3 linked regions of the Canis lupus familiaris genome follow. The protein of the gene in region 3 interacts with the protein of the main gene of each other region in a pairwise test. Links are inferred from orthologs where the notes say so. Each region holds a gene or a part of one and is shown on either strand. Other genes may lie near its edges.

Region 1 (8,126 bases), on a different chromosome or scaffold from region 3:
CCACTAACATGCTGTGTAACTTCGGGAAAGCTACTCACCTCTCTGGACCTGATATTCCTTTTTTATAAAAAGGGAGGCAAAATTGGGGGGAAAGACTTGAAAAGTCAAATGGCTATAGGGGCCTATAGGGACACCCACATGAGGAAAGTGATCCAAGGGAGGGTGGTGCAAACCGACAGCTCAGGGATAGTGAGCAGGGTAAGCCCTACGTGGCTTAACCAGTGCTGCCATGAGTAATAGCAGAGAGGATGAGAGACAGAGTCTCTAGTCTCACTATTGCCAACTCGGTTTTTTGAAAGACAGAAATCCAGGGTGCCTGGATGGCTCAGTCGTATGAGCCTCAGAGAAACTTGGAATGTAGGAATGTAGGAAGTATCTCCCTTGCCTGAGATACTTCAACACACAGGTATATTTCAGTTGGCTCCGTGTTGTGATTCTTTTTAATTAGTTGCCAACTTTCAATATCAAAAGAACCCCCACCAATCTGGATTTCTCTCTCTTTTTTTTTTTAAAGATTTTATTTATTCACGAGAGACACACAGAGAGGCAGAGACATAGGCTCCTGCAGAGAGCCTGATTCTCTGAGGCCCTACTAGTAGTGCCAGGCACCTACTATGTGTTAATGATACAGTGGTTTAGGAGACTGACACGTCTTTGCCCTTACTTTCTAGAAGAGTTTAAAGTGCAAGATCTGGCTGCAGACAATTTTCTCCTCACTCTCAGGGGTAAGGGCCCCCAGCGAGCAGCCTGATGGGGGTGAGATAAAGGTCCATGCTTCCCATACCCACTAGATTACTATAATGATAGTAATTTTTTAAAAAAGGAAAACAAGCGTTGGGAAAGATGTGGAGAAATTGGAATCCTTCTACATGGCTAATGGGAATGTAAAATGGTGCAAAACAATCTGGCAATTCCTCAAAAAGTTAAACATAGAATTCCTGTACGACTCAGTGATTCCATTTCTAGGTATATACCTAAGAAATTGAAAACAGGTTCTCAAACAAATACCTGTAGGCACATGCTTACAGTGGCACTATTCATAATAGCCAGAAGGTGGAAACAACCCAAATTTCCATCTACAGATGAATACATAAGCAAATTGTGGTATATACATACAATGAAATATTATCCAGCCATAAAAAGAACTGAAATACCAATACATGCTATAACTCGGGTGAACTTTGGGCTGGAATGGGAGTGATTGCTTTAATGGGATCAGTGCTTCGAGATGAAACTATTTGAGGACCATACAGAGGTGGTGGTTGCGCAACTCTGTGAATGTACTAAATGCCACTGAATTAAGATGGCTACATTTATAATGCTATGCCAATTTCAACTCAAAAAAATTTACAAATTGAAAACTACATAAAAGTGCTTTCCTAGGATGGTTAAATTATAGTGCATCCAAACAGTGGAATAATATGTAGCCATTAAGAATATCCAAGGATAGGGACACCTGAGTGGCTCAGCGGTTGAGCGTGTGCCTGCAGCTCAGGGTGTAATCCTGGAGACCTGGGATCAAGTCCAACATTGGGCTCCCTGCATGGAGTCTGCTTCTCCCTCTGCCTATGTCTCTGGCTCTCTCTCTGTGTGTCTCATGAATAAATAAATAAATAAAATCTTAAAAAAAATGTCCAAGGATATTTTGGGGCACCTGGCTGGCTCAGTTGGAGGATCATGCAGCTCTTGATCTCAGGGTCATGAGTTCGAGCCCCACGTTGGGTGTAAAGATTACTTAAATACATAAATAAACTTAAAAAATAAATTGACAATTAAAAAAATCCTAGGAGATTTTAATGACATAGATAAATGTTTATAATATAGGGCTAAGCAAAGAAGTAGGATGAAAATTGTATACCACAGCAGTTTACTGATTACGTTAAATAAAAAGCACACAGAAAAGAAGACTACACAAAAGTAAACTAAAATATCTGTTATCCAAAAAACTTTTTTAAAAAGATTTTATTTATTTATTCATGAGACACACACACAGAGAGAGAGAGAGAGAGAGAGAGGCAGAGACACAGGCAGAGGGAGAAGCAGGCTCCATGCAGGGAGCCTGACATGGGACCCGATCCCAGGTCTCCAGGATCACGGCCCGGGCTGAAGGCAGCGCTAAACCACTGAGCCACCCTGGGCTGCCCCAAAAAACTTTAAAAAGGAGTCATTCTTCCATTGTTTGAGTTTTTACCAAGTGTCAGGCAAATGAAGATCTTTGCTCTCCTGCAGTGGAAAACAGACCTGGAACAGGAGGCCTGGGAGGTCAGCAGAGCCAGACTCTCTGTCGTCTCTGATCCAGACTACCTGGGTGACCCTTTCAGGTCTCAGTCCTCCTTGCACACAAGAGAGGTTCACAGATGCCCCCTCTGGAGACCCATCCAGCCCTCAGTGTTTTCCCAAGAAACACCTGCACCCTCCCACCTTCACCAGGGCCATACATCCAGGATGGTCCCAGCAGAATAGTTTATTGTAGTAAAAGCCTTGCTACACATCTGAATGTCCAACAACTGGGGGATGAGAAATAAGATAGGATGGTCACTTGCAGAAATACTGCCCTGAGAAAGAATGAACTATGCATGCCTTTGTTTCTCATCCTGGCTAGACCTTGACAACTTAATGATAAGGCAAGGAATAGAAAAACGATATTGCAGAAGAATCTCACAGCTGGATAGCGTTTTTGGAGATCTTTAAAACACAGAAAAACAATTCTATGTATTATTTATGCATCCATATCTATGTAATAAATTCATAAAGGCACAGACTGGAAAGGACTATATTTCATGACTGGTTGCCTCTGGGCAGAGAGAAAAACAGGACTGAGAGAGACAAGTGGAGAGGCTTCAGTATTATCTGTTACTTTTAAGACTTTTATTTTTTAAAAAGCCAGAGGGAAACATTTAATTCTGGGTGGTGGGTTCATGGGATATTTACTATATTATTTCTTTCACTTTTCTTTATTTTAATATCCTCCCCCCCCCCCCAAAAAAAAAAAAGGATAGTGAAGAGAAATCCATGGGATAAAGGAACCAATATCTATTGAAGTCTTTCTCTGTGCTGGCCAAAGGCTACAGCAATGGTTCTCAAAGTGTGGTCCCTGGACCAGCAACAGCAGCATCACCTGGGAATGTAAATTCTCAGATTCCCCAGCCAGACCTACTGAATCAGAAACTCTGGGGTCAGGGCCCAGAAATCTGTGTTTTAACAAGCCTCCCAGGTGTACTGCTAACATTTGGGAAGCACTGGCTAGACGGTAATAGCGACAATAGTTCACGAGTACTAAGCACCTATACCTGTGACCTAACGCTCCAAGAGCTTTCCATGAATAACTTAACCTAACCTTCAAAACGACCCTGGGAGGGAGTCATTATTATTAATATCCCTATCCTATAGGTGGAAAAGCAGAGGCCTAGGAAGACCAAATCCCTTGCTAAAGGTCAACAGGCAGGTTGCTCCCAGAATCCCACTTCCCCTTGCATGACCCCCACAGACTCCAGCTCACTGTAGCCTTGGAGAAAGAATCTAGCCCTATCTGACGGAGGAGAAAACTGGAATTCGGAAAGGGAGCACGACTCGGCCCAAGGTCTCACCGAAGCGGAAAGGAGGCGGGGAGACACCCTGTGGTCTGTCCAGGAGGTTTTGAGGTTTGACCCAGACCTGCTGGGGATCAGGGCCCAGCGCGGGAGGAGGAGGGAGCGCAGAGTGGGCCCAGCTGCAGGCCCGCCTGGGTGTGGTTCGCACCGCACGCCTCCGGCCAGCTGTCCCCCTCCCCACCACGGGCTGCCAACCCGCCGCCAACCTGCCGTGACCCGTCACCCACCCCCACCAGGGGCCGTAAGGGCCTTCCCTTCTCGGTCGGTAGAGCCTCATCCCTTCCTTCTCGTTTTTTTCTTTTGCAGAAGGGGAACCTGGACGGCTCAGAGGAGCGGAGGCTGGACCCAAGTCCGTCGGGGGCCGGGGCTCCTCTCCCCTAGGGCTCCTCCAGGCTCGCACGCAGCCCGGCCAGCCCGGCCCTCGTCGCGGGCCCCCGGTCCCTCCGCGCGTCCACCGCTCCCGGACCGCCCCTTCCTGCCGCCCTCCAGCCGGCCCTGCCCCCCCGCTGGGCTCCCCCCACCGTCCCCCGCCGCGGAGACCCTCCCGCTTCCGCCGTCCGCGCGCCACTCACCTGGGCGCCCGCTCCTCCTCCTGCGGGCAGCCCGGATCTTCGCAGCTCGAACGCCCCCCCAGCTCAGCAGCCCCCGGACTCCCGGGGCGCCCGCACCCGAAGGGAGACGGGCTGACTTTGGAGAAAAGGCAAAGGGCGGCCTCTGAGGGGCTTGGGCGCCGCGCGGCTTCTCGGGCTCCCCTGGCGCTGAACCCCCGGCGCCCCCTCCTGCTCGCCTCGGCCTCAGCGGTGCGCTCGGGCTGGGACCGGGGACTCGGTGGCACCCACAGGCCATCTGGGCTCCTTAGCCGCGCCCTGAGCGATGCTAACCCCACCCCCGTGTATCCTAACCCCGCCCCTGAAGACTCTGACCCCACAGCGTGGACTCTCATCCCAGGCCCTTCCTCCCAGCACCCTAATCCCACCGCTCAAGGATTTTTTTTTTTTTTTTTAAACGCCGCCCATCAGAGGCTTCCAACCCTGCCCCTAAGGATCCTAACCCTGGCCCGGAAGGATAATAAACCTGCCCCTAAGAATTTTAATCCGTCCCCCAAAGATCCTAACCCCACGCCCTCTTCCAAGCACTTAACCTAATGCATTATAATCCCCGCCTCCCCAAACCTTAATGTGGTCGCCAAAGGGATTAAACTCGTCCTCCCAAGAACCGCAACACCGTCTCCTGCCAAGATCCTCGTTTTGCCCCCAAATGATTTTGAATTTCACATTTGAAGGATTTTTTAGCCTCACCCACAGGAGATTTCTAATCCTGTCCCCCAAGGATTCTAATCCGGCCAACGGAAGGATTTTATCCCTTCTCTTCAAAGGATTCTGACCCAGCCCTCCAAATTCATAACCCTAACCCCAGGGATTCTAATCCTGCTCCCGAATAATCCCAATCTTGTTTCCAAAGGATTTTAATCCCCCCTCGGATTCCAATCCGATCCATCCAAAAATTCCAACCCTACCCTCAAGGACTTTAACCCCTCATCAAAGGATTCTAACGTGACCCACAAGGATCCTAAACCTTTACCTCGGCACTCTCGCAGGATTCTAATCCCCCGCCCCAAGCATTCTGATCGGTTTTCTCTACACTCCAATCCACTCTTGGAGCCCAGGCCCCTCCCCCACACCGTGTCCCAGGCCTTCCTGGTCCTTCTGTGGTCAGCGGTTTCCGCTCCACAGGCCCCGCGCTATTCAAACGGCAAGCAAAGTTTCTCACCCGCAGGCACCACCCTGGCTCATTCTTGGCGGTTTCCGGCAGCTGGGAAGCTCAGAGGACTTTGAAAACTGAGGAGGCAGGATGCCCAGCTGGAGGGCACCTGGAGGCCCCACATGAATGAGATGTGCCCAGCACCAGGCAAGGGCAGAGCACAACTGCTTCTGGAAAAAGAGCTTTGTCGCACTAAAGTCTGCCAAGCACACAAGATGTGTAAGAATTTTACAGCTTTTCTGTATTCCCTCTGTTACCAGCCATTTCAGGCCACCGTCATCTCTTCATTCACTCATTCATTCATTCATTCATTCAGCAATACTGTGCTGAGTGCTGGGCTACACAGGGTTTCTCAACTCCAGTACTGTTGACATTTGGGCTGCATAATTCTTTGTTATGGGGTGGGGGGACTGTCCTGGGCATGGGAGGATGATGACCAGCATTCCTGCTAGGTCATCGTCTACACCCTCCACAGTTTGTCAATTCCTATAGCTATGGACACCTAGATGGCGTGCAACTTTGCCCTAAAGACCTGTGTAAGGATTTTGTAAAGACTTGCTTTGCCAAGAATGATGAATGCTTGCAGAATGGCTGCTGCCAAAATTCTCCTAACATTTCCCCACATTTAAGAAAATTTAAATTCAATTAATTAACGTATAGTGTGTTAGTTTCAGAGGTAGAGTTCAGTGATTGGTCTTATATAATACCCAGTGCTCATTATATCACATGCTCTCCTTAATGTCCATCACCCAGTTACCCCATCCCTACAAGCCCCTTCCACATTTCCCCACATCATGATTGACTCTTGGTACCATCCATTAGTCCTTTTTTTTTTTAAAAAAAAAAAAGGATTTTATTTATTTACTTGAGAGAGAGAAAGCAAGAGATGGAGGAGGGGCAGAGGGAGAGGAAGAAACAGACTCCTAGCTGAGCAGAGAGCCCAACGTGGGACTTGATCCTAGGACCCTAGAATCATGACCTGAGCCAAAGGCAGATGCACAACTGATTGAGTCACCCAGGCACCCCTCATCCATTAGTCTTTAATTTGAGTTCCCCAGAAGCAGACCCTAGACATGGATTCAAGTGAAAGTGGTTATTTGGGAGATGCAGAAAACACTGGTAGGGGAGTAGGTGGATAAGACAAGACAGGGAATAAAGAGAGCATTGTCAACCAAGTTATAACTGTGGGCTCCTGGAATTCACTCCTGCTGGAGAGGGAACTCCGGAGACAGTGTATTATTCCCAACTCATTGTTATCCTTCCTGGAAATTGAAAGAGCTGGGGCGTTTATGTACCAACTCCTGGCAGAGTTGGATGAGGGATGATCCCAGGAGGTACTAATCCTTCAGCACTCCTAGCCTGCTCCATGAATGCTCCAATCACAAGAGAGAGCCTCCAGGAAGAGAGATACATGCCTGGAGACTCGAAAGGGTCATCATTAGCATCGGCTACACCTTCTTCCACAAGTTTGTCATTCTGATGGCAAAGGACCACAGTTGAAACATTCTCCTGTTAACAGCCAATTCCATCTCCCTTTTTTTTGCTATTGAAGTAATGCTGCAATAAAAGTCTGTGCATGTGTTTCCAAAGCTCCTATCAACTTTACTGAGGCACAGCTTTATACATAAAATGCACTATTAAAATATTCAGCTTGATGAGTTTTGGTAAAGGGATACACCTGTGTAACCCCACCCTAATCAAGATATAGAACATTTCGGGCAGCCCAGGTGGCTCAGCGGTTTGGTGCTGCCTTCAGCCCAGGGCGTGATCCTGGAGACCTGGGATCGAGTCCCACGTCGGGCTCCCTGCATGGAGCCTGCTTCTCCCTCTGCCTCTCTCTCTCTCTCTCTGTCTCTCATGAATAAATAAATAAAATTAAAAAAAAAAGATATAGAACATTTCTAGCACTCCAAAGAATTCCCTTATACCCTATTGCAGTCAATTTCTCCCTGCTCCATTGCCTTAGATAACCAGTGTTTGGCTTTTTGTCATTATAAATTGGCTTTGTTTTTTTTATAATTTTATATAAATACAATTACACAGTGTGTTTCTTTCATGTCTGTCTCCTTTCACTTACATATTGCTTTTGAGATTTTCCATGTTACATGTTGCAGTATTTTGTTCCCTTTCACTGCAGAATAGTATTTCATAGTATAGATGTATCACTATACACAATATCAATAACACTATATAATATACATAATATCTATAATATATATCACTATATAATACCAATAATTTGATAATTTGGTATTATTATTCTTTTTAATTAAAACATATTTTCCATCTAACTCTTATTCGCATCAAAGAACATTTATACAATTACAAATTTTATCCTAAAACATTGCCTTACCAGTACTGGGGCGGGGGGCAAACATTTTATCTATTCATTCACTCATTCAACATGCAGAACATAGCTGTCCACAAGAAGTAGTGCTAAATGCTGCATCTTTGGAGCCAGTCTGGAGTTCAAACCTTGGCACAGCCATTTATCAACTGAGGGATAGTGAGCAAATCAATTAGCAATAATCACACCTCAGATAAGCCTCACTGGCTATGACACTGCCACTAGTGAAGCTTGATCTTGAGCAAATCAAATCACCCCTCAGGGTCTTAGTTTTCTCATCTCATCAAGTGGAAATAATAATAGTGTTTATCTCAGTGAATCATTGTGAAAATCAATTAACATCTTATGTGCAAGGGTGATAGGATTACAAGAAAAATAAATCAGGGCAAGAGAGTGGGATGTAATTTGAGACAAAATGGTCAGGGAAG
Region 2 (7,964 bases), on a different chromosome or scaffold from region 3:
AGACATTCCCTCACCCACCCACCACACACACTTGAGCCACCAGTTTCAAGTCCAGGTTGTCACTTGTACCTCTGATCAACTGATAGATGGGAGAGGTTCCCATGCCCCACTCCTTGGGTTTGATTAATTTGCCAACGCAGCTGGGGCGCCTGGGTGGCTCAGTGGGTTAAGCATCTGCCTTAGGCTTAGCTCATGATCCCATGGTCCCAGGATGGAGGATAGAGCCCCCTGCTCAGCAGGGATCCTGTTTCTCCCTCTCCCTCTGCCTGCTGTTTCCCCTGCTCATGTTTTCTCTCTCAAATAAATAAAAACCTTATTTATTAATTTTTTTTTTTTGCTAATATGGCTCACAGAACTCAGAAACCATTCACTTACCCTTCCCAGCTTATTATAAAGGATATAATGAAGGCTACAGACGAACAGCCGATGGGAGAGATGCGAAGGGCAGGCAGGGCATGTGGGCCGGGGCGTGCGGCTTCTCGGCCCTGTCCAAGCCTGCCATCCTCCCAGCACCGCCGCACTTCATCAGTCCAGAAGCTCTCTGAACCCCATCCTTTTCAGTTTTTTTTTTTTTTTTTTCCTTTTCAGTTTTTATGGAGGCCTCACTACAGCACAATTGATTAGATTATGGCCATTGGTGATTGAATTCAATCTCTAGCCCCTCTTTCCTCCCGGGGGAGGCATTCTTCGGGCTGGATTGAAAGTTCCAACCCTGTCATCAAAGGCTGGTTGGCCTGGCAACGAGCCCCCCTCCTTAAGGTCCCTTGGGGGCTTTCCAAAAGTTGCCACATTCACATAACAAAAGACACCTTGGTTGTTCTTGTCCCCTAGGAAACCCCAAAGGTTTTAGGAGCTCGGTGCCTGGAATAGAATGAAGACCAAATAGATATTTCTTGTTATAAATCTCATCATCACATATATCTTTTGGGTCCTTCTGGGGAACTATATTATTAGGTCAAGGTGTATGAACTTCTACATGGTGTGCATGAGTGCTGCCAAACTAGAAAGCGTAGCTTCCAAACTCTCAAATACAAACCAGATCCTTTGTGCTGAATCACTGTCTTGAAGGTCCACTAACCTTAGTTAACCAGCAGCGACACTGAAAAGCAGAGAATCCCAGAGCTGACAGGGACTCTCCGGCCGTCCCTCTGTCTCTAGCTCAGAAAGAGGAGAGTTGCTTCAAGAGATCTCCCTCAGGGACGCAAGTCCACAGCATCGTTTTCACACAATTCTAGAATGATCTAAATCCTGCAATCATTTTGACATTTATTCTTCCGACTAATATTTTTTTTTTAAGATTTTATGTGTTTATTCATGAGAGACAGAGAGAGAGAGAGAGAGAGAGAGAAGCAGAGGGAGAAGCAGGCTCCACGCAGGGAGCCCAACGTGGGACTCGATCCCGGGTCTCCAGGATCAGGCCCTGGACCAAAGGTGGCGCTAAACCGCTGAGCCACCCAGGCTGCCCCCCCCCCCCCCCGACTAATATTTCTATATTGAAAATGAAAGGATAAGATCAATAGGGGAACGGTTAAGTACTATATGGCTCATTCAATGAAATAGGATACAACCATTCCAAAACTGAAAAAACTCTGTGTACTAGCACAGAATGGTTTCTCAGGTACCCTGTTCAGTGAAAAAAGCAAGGTGCACAACACTGTATACCACGTGTACATTTGTGTAAAGAGGAGGAAAAGAAACACACATTTTGCCATAGGAGTTCTGTTTGTGTAGCCATATAACCTTTTTGAAAAAATACATAAGAAGCTGACAGTACAATACCTTAATTTTCAGGGAAATGAGGTGGCTGGGAGAACATTTTCATTGCAAAATCAAACCATTCACTGAATGTATTATCTATGCTTCTTTCTTTCTTTCTTTCTTTCTTTCTTTCTTTCTTTCTTTCTTTCTTTCTTTCTTTCTTTCTTTCTTTCAGATTTTATTTACTCATGAGAGACAGAGAGAGAGAGGCAGAGACACAGGCAGAGGGAGAAGCAGGCTCCATGCAGGGAGCCTGACGTGGGACTTGATCCCTGGACCCCGGGGTCACACCCTGAGCCCAAGGCAGATGCTCAACCGCTGAGCCACCCAGGTGTCCCAAAAGTAAAATCTTTTAAAAAAATAAAATAATTTTAAAACCAGAAAATGACGGGACTAGGGCAATTGATCATACCTCCAAATCCATTTATTTAACTTGTTTATTCTCCAAACCCCATTTAAAAGGTCAGTGAAGGAATAAAAGAAGAGGGTCCTGAGTACAGAGAATGTGAGAGGGAACCGGAGATGGGCTGCGTGGACACATTTTGGGGAGAGGGTCCAGGCAGTGGCCCAATTTCAGAGTCAGACTTGCACTCGCAGCTATTAAGTGGTTCTCATGAGAACCTGGGCAAATAAATCCCTTACTTGCTTTGAGCTTCGGATTCCTTATCCACGGGAGAGCAGGGAAAAGACCCTGACTTTCAGGATTTCATATTGTGGTAGGCACGGTGCTTCCTGGGATTGCTGGGAGCACTCACTCTTACAGATCAGAAGCACACAGAAAACTGCCACCATTACTTTTAATAATAGTGCTGAGTCCTCCCCCGCCCCCATCAGACTGACAGATATTAAAATAAGTGTCTTTATTTATTTAGAGAAGACACGTGTGCCAGTGGGAGAGGGGCAGAGGTAGAGAGAATCCTATAAGCAGGCTCCACACAGCGTGCCCTCCAATGCACTCCTGCTGATGCAGGCTCCATCCTACAACCCTGAGATCACCACCTGAGCCAAAATCAAGAGTTGGAGGGGACTCAGTGGTTGAGGGTCTGCCTTCAGCTCAGGGCATGATCATGGGATCATGCCCTGAGCTGGGACATGGGGATCGAGTCCCGCATCGGGCTCTGTAGGGAGCCTGCTTCTCCCTCTGCCTGTGTCTCTGCCTCTCTCTCTTTCTGTGTCTCTCATGAATAGATAAATAAAACCTTTAAAAAAAAATCAAGAGTTGGATACCCAACTGACTGAGCCACCCAGGCGCCCCTAAAATAAATGTCTTTAAAAATCAGGGTCTTATTTAAATTCGAGTTTCTCTCATTGTAAACGAGGTTGAGCAATTACGTGAATATTTGGTAACTTGCCTGATCATATGATGATAACAGTTTTATTAACATTGGCTGCATGCTACCATGTACCAGGCACTGTGCCGTGATCCCTACAAGTGCTATTTCATTTAATCTGTAGATCAAGATAAAATCATGATGCCAGTTTTCAAGGGAGGGAACCAAAGCTTAGAGAAGTCAATTTGCTCATCTCCATTACTAGGGAGTAGAGTCTGGATTCTGAGCAAGGACTTGACTCTGACCCCAATGACCCACTTGACTGACCCAGGCTCTTCATGCTTGTGCTTAAAGAACTCTCCCCTGATTGTTTTTCTGTTGGATGATTTGCCTTTTTCGGAATATTTTGCAAGAGCTCTCTATATTTTGGTGGTGGGGGCTCACGGTAGGGAGGGGCTGTCTGGGCTGAGGGCAGGAAGTGGCTTCAGAGATGCCCTGCCTTCCATCAGAGTAAGGCTGGCTGTGAGCCTAGGCGGTGCAGTCAGACATGGCAAGAAACCAACCCAATACAGAACCGAGGTCTGCAAGGATGAGGGACTTTGACCCCCTTAGAGAAAAAGCAAGAGTGACTCACAGGAGGAAGAGAAAAACCAAAGTTCCCGGGCTGTCCCCCATGAGCATAGACAGTCCAAAGTCATCAGAAGGAAGAGGGAAACAGAGCTGGCCGGGAGCTGCCACAACACCCATGCAAATGAGACCCGCCCACAGCTGCCTGGAAACCAGGCCCAAAAGAAGTGAGAGCGCAGAGCACATGCTGCAGGGCCACCTTGGGGACTGGACGAGGAGACTCTGAGAAGCAGGTGAGGAGCCACAGGGGGTCATGGAGGGACGGGTGGGACTCACTGGAGTCCTGAGAGGCACTGCTGTCGGCCAACATGAATACTGGCCTGGGAGGCAGGGCTCCTGGGAGCAGCTTTCCAGCCCAGTCGTTCTCTAGCTGTGAAGCCCTAAGCAAAGCCACTTCACATTCTGAACCGTGGTGTCCCCATCTATAAAATGGGTGTGCATCTATCATGCTGTGTACCAAGCACCTGCTGTGCTTTGCTGGGCTCCTTACAGATATTAACACTTCCTCACAGCAAGCCTTTAAGGTGGGATTATTTGCCTATTTTTCTTTTTTTTTTTTTTTAAGATTTATTTATTTATTTATTCATGATAGACAGAGAGAGAGAGGCAGAGACACAGGAGGAGGGAGAAGCAGGCTCCATGCCGGGAGCCCGATGCGGGACTCGATCCCAGGACTCCAGGATCGTGCCCTGGGCCAAAGGCAGGCGCTAAACCGCTGAGCCACCCAGGGATCCCTATTTGCCTATTTTTCAAAGAAAAATGAAGCTCAGAGAGCATAAACCATTTCTCTAAGACCACAGAGCAGATAAAAGTCTGGTTCCAAAGCCCACTTCCCACTCCCTATCCTGCTTCCTTTACAGGGTGGTTTCAAAGAATCAAATGGCTTTGGGGCACCTGACTGGCTCAGTTGGTAAAGCATGTGACTCTTGATCTCGGGGTTGTGCGTTCAAGCCCCACACTGGGCGTGCAGATTACTTAAAAAATAACAACAACATAAATTAAATACATAAATAATTGGGGAAAAACCCCTTCCAAACCAAATGGCCTTATGCAGATGGAAAAATAATTGTAAAAGGCAATCATAAAATGTAGATGTGAGTTGCCTCACTTAGATCCTACCCAGGACCAGGGCCCTTTTTTGTAAACTGTGAGGTCCTGTAAAAATGCTAGCTCTTGGGGCACCTGGGAGGCTCAGTCAGTTGAGCCACGGACTCGTGGTTTCAGCTCAGGTCACGATCTTAGGGTCATGTGATCGAGCCCTGCGATGGACTCCATGCTCAGCGGGGAGTCTGCTTGGGACTCTCTCTTTCTCTCCCTCTGCCCCTCCTCCCTGCTCTCTCTCTTTCTTTCTCTAATAAATAAATCTTTTAAAAAAATGCTAGTTCCTCATCTCTCTCCTCTTGAGGGTAAAAACTTTGAGGGGATGCTACAAACAATATTTGGGTGACTTGCTCACAGACCCAAGTGATCCCTTTGGGGTGGTGTCTAGGACGTACTGTTGCTGAGATGGCTTCGGGGGTGACTGGTGGGAGGATACATGGCCAGAGTCCCTCCGGCGGACGCTGGACTCTGACTTGCTGCTCCTGAAACAGCAGTGGACGTCTGAGGGGACCCTGGCAGGTAAGGGCCCAGGTGCTGAGGCAAAACAGTGATTATTCCTCCTCTTGAATGGCCTTTTCCAGCCTTGGCCATGGAACTTCAGAAAATGTAGGTCTGCTTTTGGGGAAAGGGAGATGTTTAAGGGTAGTAATACGAGTTTACTGTAATATTGTAAAGTTAGAATTTTCAGATAAGAGAATTTAAACCAACCAACCAAAGCCCACCTGTTCTCTATGCCCAGAGATAACCACTGTGGACATTTTGATGTTTGTTTTTCCAGGCATGTTTCCATTGCACACATATACTGGATAATTGAATAATATTATGCTACGGTTTTATTACTGGTTCTTTTTGCTTAATGACATATCACAAACATATTTCCACATTAATAGATATTTTATCACATCATTTATTAAAAAGATTTATTTACTGGGGAGAGAGGGAAAGGGAGGGCCGATGGGAGAAGGAGAGAGACTCTCCAGCAGATTCCACACTGAGCATGGAGCCCTACGTGGGGCTCGATCTCACAACCCTGAGATCATGACCTGAGCCAAAACCAAGAGTTGGGTGCTCAGCTAACCGTGCCACCCGGACACCCCTTATCACATCATTTTAAAGGCTGCAGAATGTCTCTTTATGTATCTGGAGCAGAATATCTTTAGTTCATGTCTCACTCTTGAATGAGTATGTACTTTTCCAGACTTGTCCATTAGAGACGTGCTTCTACGAGCGTCCCTACAATCAAGCCTTTGCACAGGTCCTTGGTTATTACCATGGGACAGATTTCCAGTGGGGAAACTGCTGGATCAAGGTTATTACCTTTCAAGGCTTTTAGTGAAGTACTAAAAGGTCTGCTTCAGACACTCTCTGGAATTCGGAGCTCCTCAGAACTGAACGCAGAAACCTCTTTCATGACTTCAAAGCCAACCTTGATCCTTCCTCTCTCTCAAATCCATTTGCAGGGATACCGGCAACCACTTCATATATGATCTTTGCCGGGTGCCAGGCTCCACGAGCTTTACCCTCAGACAGACTACTTTTCCTTTTCAGAAGACCTTGAGGCACAGGTTAAGCAACTTAACTGGGATCCTGCCCCCAATAGAAGCAGCACATCTGGGGGCATGAGCCTCAACATGGCTTTTTGGGAAGTGCGTTTGACTTAATCTCCAGAGATGGTTTTTATTCCATCCCTTTGATCTGCTCTGCCATAGCCTGGTCTAAGTCAAGCACCACCAGCCCAGCCTGAATGATCAAGTCCCTAATGGTCTTTTGTTTCCACTCTGTTCTTTTTAGTCTGTTCTCTGCTCTGAAGCTGGAATGGTGTTTTGATTTTATTATTATTAAATATTTTATTTTTAAGTAATCTCTACACCCAACAGGGGGCCCAAACCCACAACCCAGAGATCAAGAGCCATGCACTCTACCGACTGATCCAGCCAGGCACCCCTGGAAAGGTGTTTTTTTTGTTTTTAAAGAATTTATTTATTTATTCATGAGAGACACACAGAGAGAGGCAGAGACACAGGCAGAGGGAGAAGCACGCTCTCCATGGGGAGCCCGATGTGGGACAAGATCCCAGGACCCTTGGATCATGCCCTGAGCCAAAGGCAGATGCTCAACCGCTGAGCTACCCAGGTACCCCTAGAATGGTGTTTTTAAAATGGAAAGAAAAAAAAAAATGGAAAGAAGAAGGCACCTGGGTGGCTCAATCGGTTGAGCATCTGTCTTTGGCTCAGGTCATGATCCCAGGGTCCTGGGACCGAGTCCCATGTCGGGCTCCAGGCTCAGCGTGGACTCTGCTTCTCCCTTTGCCCCTCCCCCTGTGGTGCTTGCACTCTCTCTCTCTGAAATAAACAAAAAAATTGTTTAAAAAAATTAAAAACACAATGGAAAGAGGATGAGGCCCTGTCCCCCACCCCATACTCACCCCTTGAATTAAATCCAGCTGTGATCCCGGCTCCCAGGGCTGGCCTCTCCCAGGCTGGCTCTTCCCTGAGCCACTTTCCTGCTCCTGCTCCTCCCACTACACCTCAGGCTTCTTTCACTTCCTGCATCTGGCAGAGCCTTTTTTTCACCTTGGGGCTTTGGTACATGCTGTTCCCTTGGCCGGGAATGTCCTTCCTCCACGCTGCGTGGCTGGTTCCTTGTCGTCCTACAGACTCAGCTTTCAGACCACCTGTCTGCCGCAACCTTGCCTGCTGGTTTCCTATGGAGCCCGTTCCCTAAGTCCATGTCCCTCTCTGCCCTTTATAGCATGTGCATTAGATTTTTTTTTTTTTTTTTGTGATAGTCACAGAGAGAGAGAGAGAGAATGAGGCAGAGACACAGGCAGAGGGAGAAGCAGGCTCCATGCACCGGGAGCCCGACATGGGATTCGATCCCGGGTCTCCAGGATCGCGCCCTGGGCCAAAGGCAGGCGCCAAACCGCTGCGCCACCCAGGGATCCCTGCATTAGATTATATATTTATCGCCCACTGCTCATTAGAGGTCTTTTCCCCTCATTGTACTCTAAATGTCATGAGGTCAAAGCCATGCCTCTCTGGGTCACCATTATTTACCTGGTGCCTCGCACAGCTCCTGACACGCAGTGGGTACTCGACAACTTACTAATTGTGGGATGGATGCATGGTCCACAGAAGAAGGCCTTCGTAGGTAAGGATCCTCAGCAGACTCCCAGCTCAGGCCAGAGGAGTTCCCTCCTCCTTTTGC
Region 3 (7,469 bases):
TCAGCTCCATGCCCAGTGTGGGGTTTGAATTCACAATTCTAAGATTGAGAGTGGTATGCTCTACTGACTCAACCAGCCAGGTGCCCCCAAATCTCCTTGATTCTAATTCTCTCAAACCTACCCTTTCTCTCAAATATACTTCCCCTATGTTCACCAGTTGTTCCGCAGGTTACTATAGTATCTTTCTAATGTACTCGACTCTAGTTAGGCCCTCTCCTGTTATATTCTCTTCACTTTACCAAAGTAATGTCAAAATAATGTTAAATCTTAAGTCCACCATTTTATTAAAAAATCCCATGATTATCAGGTTAAAGTTCATACTCCTTTATGCAGCATTAAGTAACTCTTGCCATCTGGCCACTTCCTAGAATTTAATGTGCCTCAAAGTCCCAGAGAAAACAATGGCAAAAGGGCTTATTTGCAATCTGCGCTCTTCTCCCATCAATTTCATGTACATATCAATTCTTCTTAAAATAATCTTTGCAGAGATAACAAATACTTGAACTTGTTTAAGACCATAGTTTATCTGGCAATAAGATATGTAAGCCACTGGGAAGGAGTCAGACATGCTTTTATTATGGAAAGGCTTATATTATCAGACAGCTGTAGTAATGAAATTTAATAAAGATTTATCCAGATAGAAAAGCTCTTGTACAATGATGGCTACAGAAGCAGACAATTGGACACGGACCTCAAACTCCATTTTTTTTTTTTTTTTTCAAATTCCATCTTAATTCAAGACCAAACAGGTGGAAACATTAGTTCAGAAACTACAGCTGAATCTAGTTACCAAAAATTCCCTTAAGAACTACCCTCAAAACACTTGCCACTTTATTAACATGACATGTTCTCTGATAAGCTTAAAAAATGAATTTAAACATGCCTAAATATGATCCAGAAAAATTCTGAAATATGAGTCAAAGTACGAGCAATATGTATCTGCTAGCAACAGTTCAGTTTTCAGAAATATCGTTTCAGGGCATTCAGGTAAGTCAACTAAGAACTTCATGTATCTGTTCTAAATAAGTTTAATTCCACTTTAACTTTTAAAATAATGGTTTTAAATACTACTAAATAAAAACCATGAAAAGGACTTCTGACTAAAGGAAGAAGGAAGAGGTTGAGTATGAAACAGTAACAAAACAAACATACGTGGCCTGGAGGGGCTTGCATTGGTCGTTTCAGGTCATTTCGTCCTCTACAGGCTCTGATCACAGTTTTGTGACGATGCAAATGTATTTCAGCTTCCAACTGGTTCCAAAGCTTATCGTGAGCGGGTCCCTTCATATCTCGCCCTAGTAATTGTATTTGTTGGACCCTTTATATTGAGAAAACAGTTAATTCAGTTAGTTTTTCATTATTATAATTTTTATTACAGAGAGAACTCCGAAGAATTACTGGATACCAGTAGCTTTTGCATAAACCTCAACAGAAAACCTATTTCTGTTAGTAATAAAACCTGTTAGTAATTAATACATTTAGGACCTCCTGATGTTTCTCAGATTTGTAACATACCAAAAGTCTGAAAAGAACAGATATCTTCAAGAGAAAACTAGTTTTTTTTTTAAAAAAAAGAATGAATGAAACCTTTTCTAACCATATACTTAATTCAAATACATCTAAAAAATTTTTGAGACTGATGTCAATGAACATGTCTTGCACACAATCAGGATAGGTCAACAAACTCAGGCACTATTGAATATTAGTCTTTACAGGAACCTAACAGTACAAAAACATTTTTTTAAAAGACAGTTTCTTTTTAAAAATTACTGTTTTAAATATGGCAAAAGTTACTAGAAAATGTGCACTTCAACATGATATAAATTATTTTTATTTGCTTCACATCAGTTCTTAATGTGCTGTGAATAAGTAAAAAAATATTTATCAAAAGTAATAAATCACCAAATTTTGTGATTATAAAAAATTAATACAAGGAGAGCACCATATTATTATGATAAAGTCACTGTCATTCCAAAGTGTTTTGGAGAGTCAAGAAAGATTACATTTCAATGATCACAGAAAGAATTCCTTAAGAAAGGCTATACATGTGAACATCATCTTTTATGGTTTCAAGGCAGGAAGTGGCTGAAAGGTGCAGATCTAGAGTTACTAGCATGTCAGAGTAAGTTCCTATCAGTGTGTGTGTTTGTGTATGTGTAAACCAGAAATACTTATGTAGTATGGCTAAATAAATCTACAATATATAATGCTATCAATATTAACAGTAAGACAGAGAGAGAGAGTGAGCCAGAGACACAGGCAGAGGGAGAAGCAAGCTCCATGAAGGAAGGCTGACGCAGGAACTCGATCCTGGGTCTCCAGGATCACGCCTTGGGCTGAAGGCGGTGCTAAACCGCTGAGCCACCCTGGCTGCCCTATAAAATAACTCTTAAGATAAAGATTAATGTTTCATTTACCATAAGAGGTAAGAGTCAACCTCACTAAATATCTAGCTACTTAAGAATACAAGGCACTCATTTTTTACACACCTTCCTGCCAGTTCCTTATCCAAGTACTTGGCAGCCAGTCTTGCCCCATAAACTTCAGCCTGGAGAACAGCTATATGTCTACGAAGGGCTTCATTCTCTTTTCTCAACAACTTCACTTCAGCTTCAAGTTGAGCTTCTTTCATTTTTTCTTTTTTGTTTGCTTCCAGCTCTCTCTCCTATTTAAAACACAAAAACAAAAACAAAAACAAAACCCACGCACAATGTAATGAAAATACTTTTTTAAGGCTTTTTAGCAACATACCATGTTTCTCAAAATACATAAAAGCGCACAGTCTGTTACAATACCAACAATGAAAGCATATGATAAAAGTTACCATTTCTATAAAATGGAGCATACAAAGATTTGGATCCAGTTCTTTTTAACTAGTACCAGAAGGTGTTGGGACCACTTCCACATAAGATAATTTCATGCCTTGGGGTACTCTGACACTGAGGATACTAAAATAATTAGTATTTTCTAAGCTTATGTCATCATACACTAATAGGAGTGGTTGCAATGAATAACTGAATCTTCTCCCTATTTATTTTCTAAAAATGACTCAAGAAACTAGACTAAAATAAAAAAAAAATCACTCTGGTGGCTGTATCCAAACACTTAATTAACTTTAAAGCAATAATTCTATAAACAAGTCAAAATTCTTCACTTACATAGATTCCATGGTTAATTTACCTTAGAGGACTACCAGAAACTTAAACTGCTTAAATTAGAACAGATACTCTAATTTTTTTTTAAAGAATGTTTGATGGTAATGGAAAAATGCTGGTAACAAACGTACTGAAAAATTTATACATTAAAAAATTTCTCTGCATGACCATATCTATGGTACAGATTATCACTGATTTTGGGGATGTGATTCATCTATCCCTATGTCAAAGTGAATGAAGTAAAATAAATGTTTGTGGAGGAAAACAGGGCCCTCCCTACCTGCCTTCTAGGAGGTAGGATGGACATCCATTTTTAATTCTCATAAAAGAATGCTCTACTTGGTAGAGAGTCTATATATGTGAATTACAGGTGTTAGCTAGAGTATAAAACCTCAAGATCTTTGCCATCCAATTTTTATCACAAGCTTACATATGAGAAATAATGTTCAATTTACCTTAAAAGTATAAAGTACAATATGTCTACTCCTACAACTCAGGGGTGACCAATGTAAATGCCTTCAGGGACCCAAGCACAAAACAGACCAATACAAGACAAAGTCGAGTGGAAAATGGAAGGTACAAAATCCCTGCCTAAAGGCAGTCAAACTCAAATACACAAAAGCTCTGTGGCCAAATAAAACTCTTCCAAGAGTTGAATAAGGGCCCTGATAGATATTTTAAGTGTTGTTTTTGGATTAACAAAACACTGTAAACTTCCATTTATTCTGAGTAGAAATGTTTTTACTGCCTTATAGAACTGCTTTTACCGATTTACTGATAAACAGAATCTATAAATCCTGTGTAAATGTGGTTGTATCTGTTGATGAGATGTGGAAGAAACTGTTCACCCTGTCCCCTTTGTGAGACTTAAATAAAGGTCTTGCTCAGCACCAGAAAAAAATGCTTCTCTTGAGCAAACGACAAATGATACTGTTTCTATTTGTATGGGTACTGATTATTGTAATTATTTCCCTTTTTATTCTGGGTAGTAAGCTGAGAAACAAATTCAAACAAACCTCTAACAATTCTGGAATATACTTTGGTACTAATCTAATGTCTGCTTTGGTCTACTGTTTTCTCAATAGTATATCAATAAATGATACACTAAAACATCAATATATGACATATTCAAATATAAGGCAGTGAGTACCACAGTCTTAAACACAAAAAAATAATATACAAGCTAAAATGAGTCATTACCAAATGGTAGATATATTTACTGCCTCTTTGATTACTGTTTTTCAAGAATCTGAAGAATAATCTAGAATCCTCCTTTTACAACTTTAGAATTATTAAAATTGCAATTTATTTCAGAGCATATTTCTTGAAAGGCAAGAATCAGTTCCAAAAAAACTCCACAGTTTAGATAACATGAACAATAAGCTTTCTTATGACATTTACTGAAGTTAATGCTATTTGTTTCAGAAAAAAAGTTCCAGAAGACCAAGTATTCTTTGGTTTATGGGCTAAATAAACTTTACATTGATATTTGTCTATGTACAATTGCCCTGATAACCTATTTATACAGTATTTATGGAATTTACAAAACACATATTAAGTCACCACTTTGCTTTCATGATTCAAACACCTAATGATTCTGACAAACTGTCAGGCCTGAAAATAACATTCGCAAACATGAATAGGACTAAGAAAACTGAAGTTAATCTTTTTAGTTTTTAAAGAAAAAAAATATGAATCTTTAGTTAGCCCATTTATTAGGTAATAAGCAAGAAGCTCATTTTGTATTTAGAGAGCCAAACAGTGTATTTTCAAAAGAAATAAAGCCATCAGACAAACTGGAACCTGATTAGGTTAGCATAGTGAGGAAAATATTAAGAATTTATACATTGTTATTTTCTAAAATAAGTTCTGGCAAAAAGTTTCAAAATTCAGTTGTTTCAAAGGCCACACAATTATTCCAAGACTGCTAAAAAGTTGTGACACATGCAGAAGATGAATACGAAACCAACATGCACATTCTTTCTCTGGGGATAAGTTCAAATAGAAAAAGAGAAAAAAGCTAGGTGTTCTTAATATATCTTCAAAATACTCAAGTGGGAAAACCAATTGCTCTTTTGAAGTAGAGGTTTCAACAAGTTACAAGGCTTAAAAGTTGTCAAAAATGGATGGGCTCTGTAAATAATGGTTATAAATCACAAACAAAAGAAAAATCTTTCACAACGTGTACTGAGAAAAGAGCAATGGGCCACCAACTGAACTTTTCAGGTACTGGAAGATTAAAAAACTATCATCATGAACATCACATCCAAATACAAAGTGACAACATATAATATGCAAATAAGACAATAAGAACACTTCAGCGTAACGTATTAAAGCCAAACAGAAACAACATACTTACCAGCTCCTCCACAGAGGGGACAGACTTAAGATATAAGAAAAAAGTTTGATAATTAGAAAAATATCAAACAAATGAATTTATCTAGTGGTATAATCATTATAAGGAAAACTCCCATACGTTGAATATCATTTGGGTAAAGTTCATTAGAACAAATATATTTGCAAATCCATAACCTACAGTAACTACACAGTGTTAGATTAAAACTTTTTGTTTTACCAAATTAGTCAGCTCACCTGGTTCAGTGCCTTCTACTACAGCACCCTGCTTCAGATCTAACATTAAAACTTCAAGTAAACTCTTTTCTAGTGAAAATGTATACACTGTTTCTCAACGTAAACATCAAATATCCCAAAAAAGCAGTGAGAAATCTGACTCATTTCAGTTAAAGAGAACAAGGTTACTAACTTAGATTCATAGAATTTCTGAATTTAAAAGATTTAAGGAGAATGGAAATATTCATTTAAATAAATTCTAACAAGTAAAATTTAAAAATGTATGACTATCATCATCCTCATTTCATTTCCTGCCTCTCCCAAGCTATATCTATCTTACTGCTGTGTCCCCTATGGTCAACCAAGTGTCTGGCACATACTTGCACACTTAACAAGTACGAGATTAAGCTGAAATGAGACTTAAAAAATTTTTCTACTTATATTAAGAGGGCAAAGGTTACTTATGGAAAATGTATATATAATACATTTATATTATACAAACATTACAAAATGTTCAATGGCAGAAAAAAATGCTCATAAGAGCAATAGGAAAAAATATGCCAGTGGTTGGCACCCAATTCCATTTTCAACTCCAGTTTCACAAGAGGTGGCCACGTGACCAACTAAGAGGCTGAAATGCAAGTTGGGATAGCCAATGAGATGGCTAACTTGACGGGCAAAAATTGTTGAGGAGGATTTCATGAAAAATTCTTTAGAACACTAATGCAGCCTGGAAGCATCCTTTTGCCCTTTTCTTAGATTCTTCCTTCTTTCTGCCTAGAATAAAGAGATCCTAAGGATGGAAACCATGAGCTAAAAATGGCGAACACAACAACAAAAAGCATATTGGATACTTAGTATCTATAGAGCCATCACATAAGCTCTGTGCTGCCTATTTCAGGGCTTGAAAGAAAATAATTTGTACTATTCAAGAATATTCCCAGTGTTCTCTGGACTTGTTATATGCAGATGAACTTAATCCTAACTCACCCAACAGGGCAAAAAACTGTTTACACGTTATAATTACAAATATCTTTTAAATATTTTTACACAGATATTTTCAAATAGGAAAAAAATCCTATTCTAAGTATCAACTGCTTATTGATATTGTCACTTCTCACCTCTAGGTGCTGAGACTGTGGATGATCATGAAGACCTTTACATTTCCTGCGTTTTCTAAATTTCCCACACTTAAGCACATATTACCTTCTATATTCAAAAGCCTCATTAAAAACTGTCCTCTTCATCCTCTAAAATACATGTAAGTATATGTTACCTTCTAAACTACTTACCAGTTTTGCCTTAATGGTACCAGAGTCAACACTCTGACCAGTTTTAGCATGGAGCTGAAGCTGGATAGAGTGCAGCTGTAAAAGCTGATCGTGGACTTCTTTCTCCAACACAACTTTCTCTGCCTGTGTCTCTGTCAGTTCAGATTTCAGATCCACCAACTGTGCCTTATAAAGCAACAATAAAAAACATCAAGTAAGCTTAATTTTCTTTATTTTGACTCTAGTAATTATTCAAAGATGACACAGACTGTGTTTAAAATGAATAGATGAACACCAGCCTGAATAGATGAATTGACAACTCTTAAGACATCCAACTATACAGTCATAAATCCAATAGCACAGGTAAGATACTTGAGTGGCAAGAGAACCAACTCTTCCATAAACCATATCTTTAAAAAAAAAATGTTTATTTATAATCTCTACACCCAATGTGGGGCTCATACTCAAAACC

The links. The genes of interacting proteins can lie anywhere in the genome.
Region 1: the proteins of GOPC (region 3) and HCK interact in binary tests that used the Homo sapiens proteins (3 or more experiments, as listed by UniProt). The two-hybrid records come from large-scale screens. The link is inferred for Canis lupus familiaris from reciprocal best matches to the Homo sapiens genes GOPC and HCK.
Region 2: the proteins of GOPC (region 3) and RNF183 interact in binary tests that used the Homo sapiens proteins (3 or more experiments, as listed by UniProt). The two-hybrid records come from large-scale screens. The link is inferred for Canis lupus familiaris from reciprocal best matches to the Homo sapiens genes GOPC and RNF183.

The regions. Positions count from the first base shown.
Region 1 is NC_049245.1:21,970,701-21,978,826, reverse strand, and holds the start of HCK (tyrosine-protein kinase HCK), read right to left. Parts: upstream 4,449-8,126; 5' UTR 4,163-4,448; intron 1-4,162. UniProt on the Homo sapiens protein: Non-receptor tyrosine-protein kinase found in hematopoietic cells that transmits signals from cell surface receptors and plays an important role in the regulation of innate immune responses, including neutrophil, monocyte, macrophage and mast cell functions, phagocytosis, cell survival and proliferation, cell adhesion and migration.
Region 2 is NC_049232.1:68,075,085-68,083,048, reverse strand, and holds the start of RNF183 (E3 ubiquitin-protein ligase RNF183), read left to right. Parts: upstream 1-3,516; 5' UTR 3,517-3,889; intron 3,890-5,145; exon of another isoform or gene 5,146-5,276; intron 5,277-7,829; 5' UTR 7,830-7,872; coding exon 7,873-7,907; intron 7,908-7,964. UniProt on the Homo sapiens protein: Acts as an E3 ubiquitin ligase catalyzing the covalent attachment of ubiquitin moieties onto substrate proteins. Triggers apoptosis in response to prolonged ER stress by mediating the polyubiquitination and subsequent proteasomal degradation of BCL2L1.
Region 3 is NC_049222.1:58,357,464-58,364,932, forward strand, and holds part of GOPC (Golgi-associated PDZ and coiled-coil motif-containing protein), read right to left. Parts: intron 7,222-7,469; exon of another isoform or gene 7,184-7,221; coding exon 7,019-7,183; exon of another isoform or gene 6,907-7,018; coding exon of another isoform or gene 6,854-6,906; intron 5,539-6,853; coding exon 5,515-5,538; intron 2,666-5,514; coding exon 2,490-2,665; intron 1,319-2,489; coding exon 1,153-1,318; intron 1-1,152. Other genes in the region: DCBLD1 (discoidin, CUB and LCCL domain-containing protein 1), read left to right, coding at 6,854-6,906.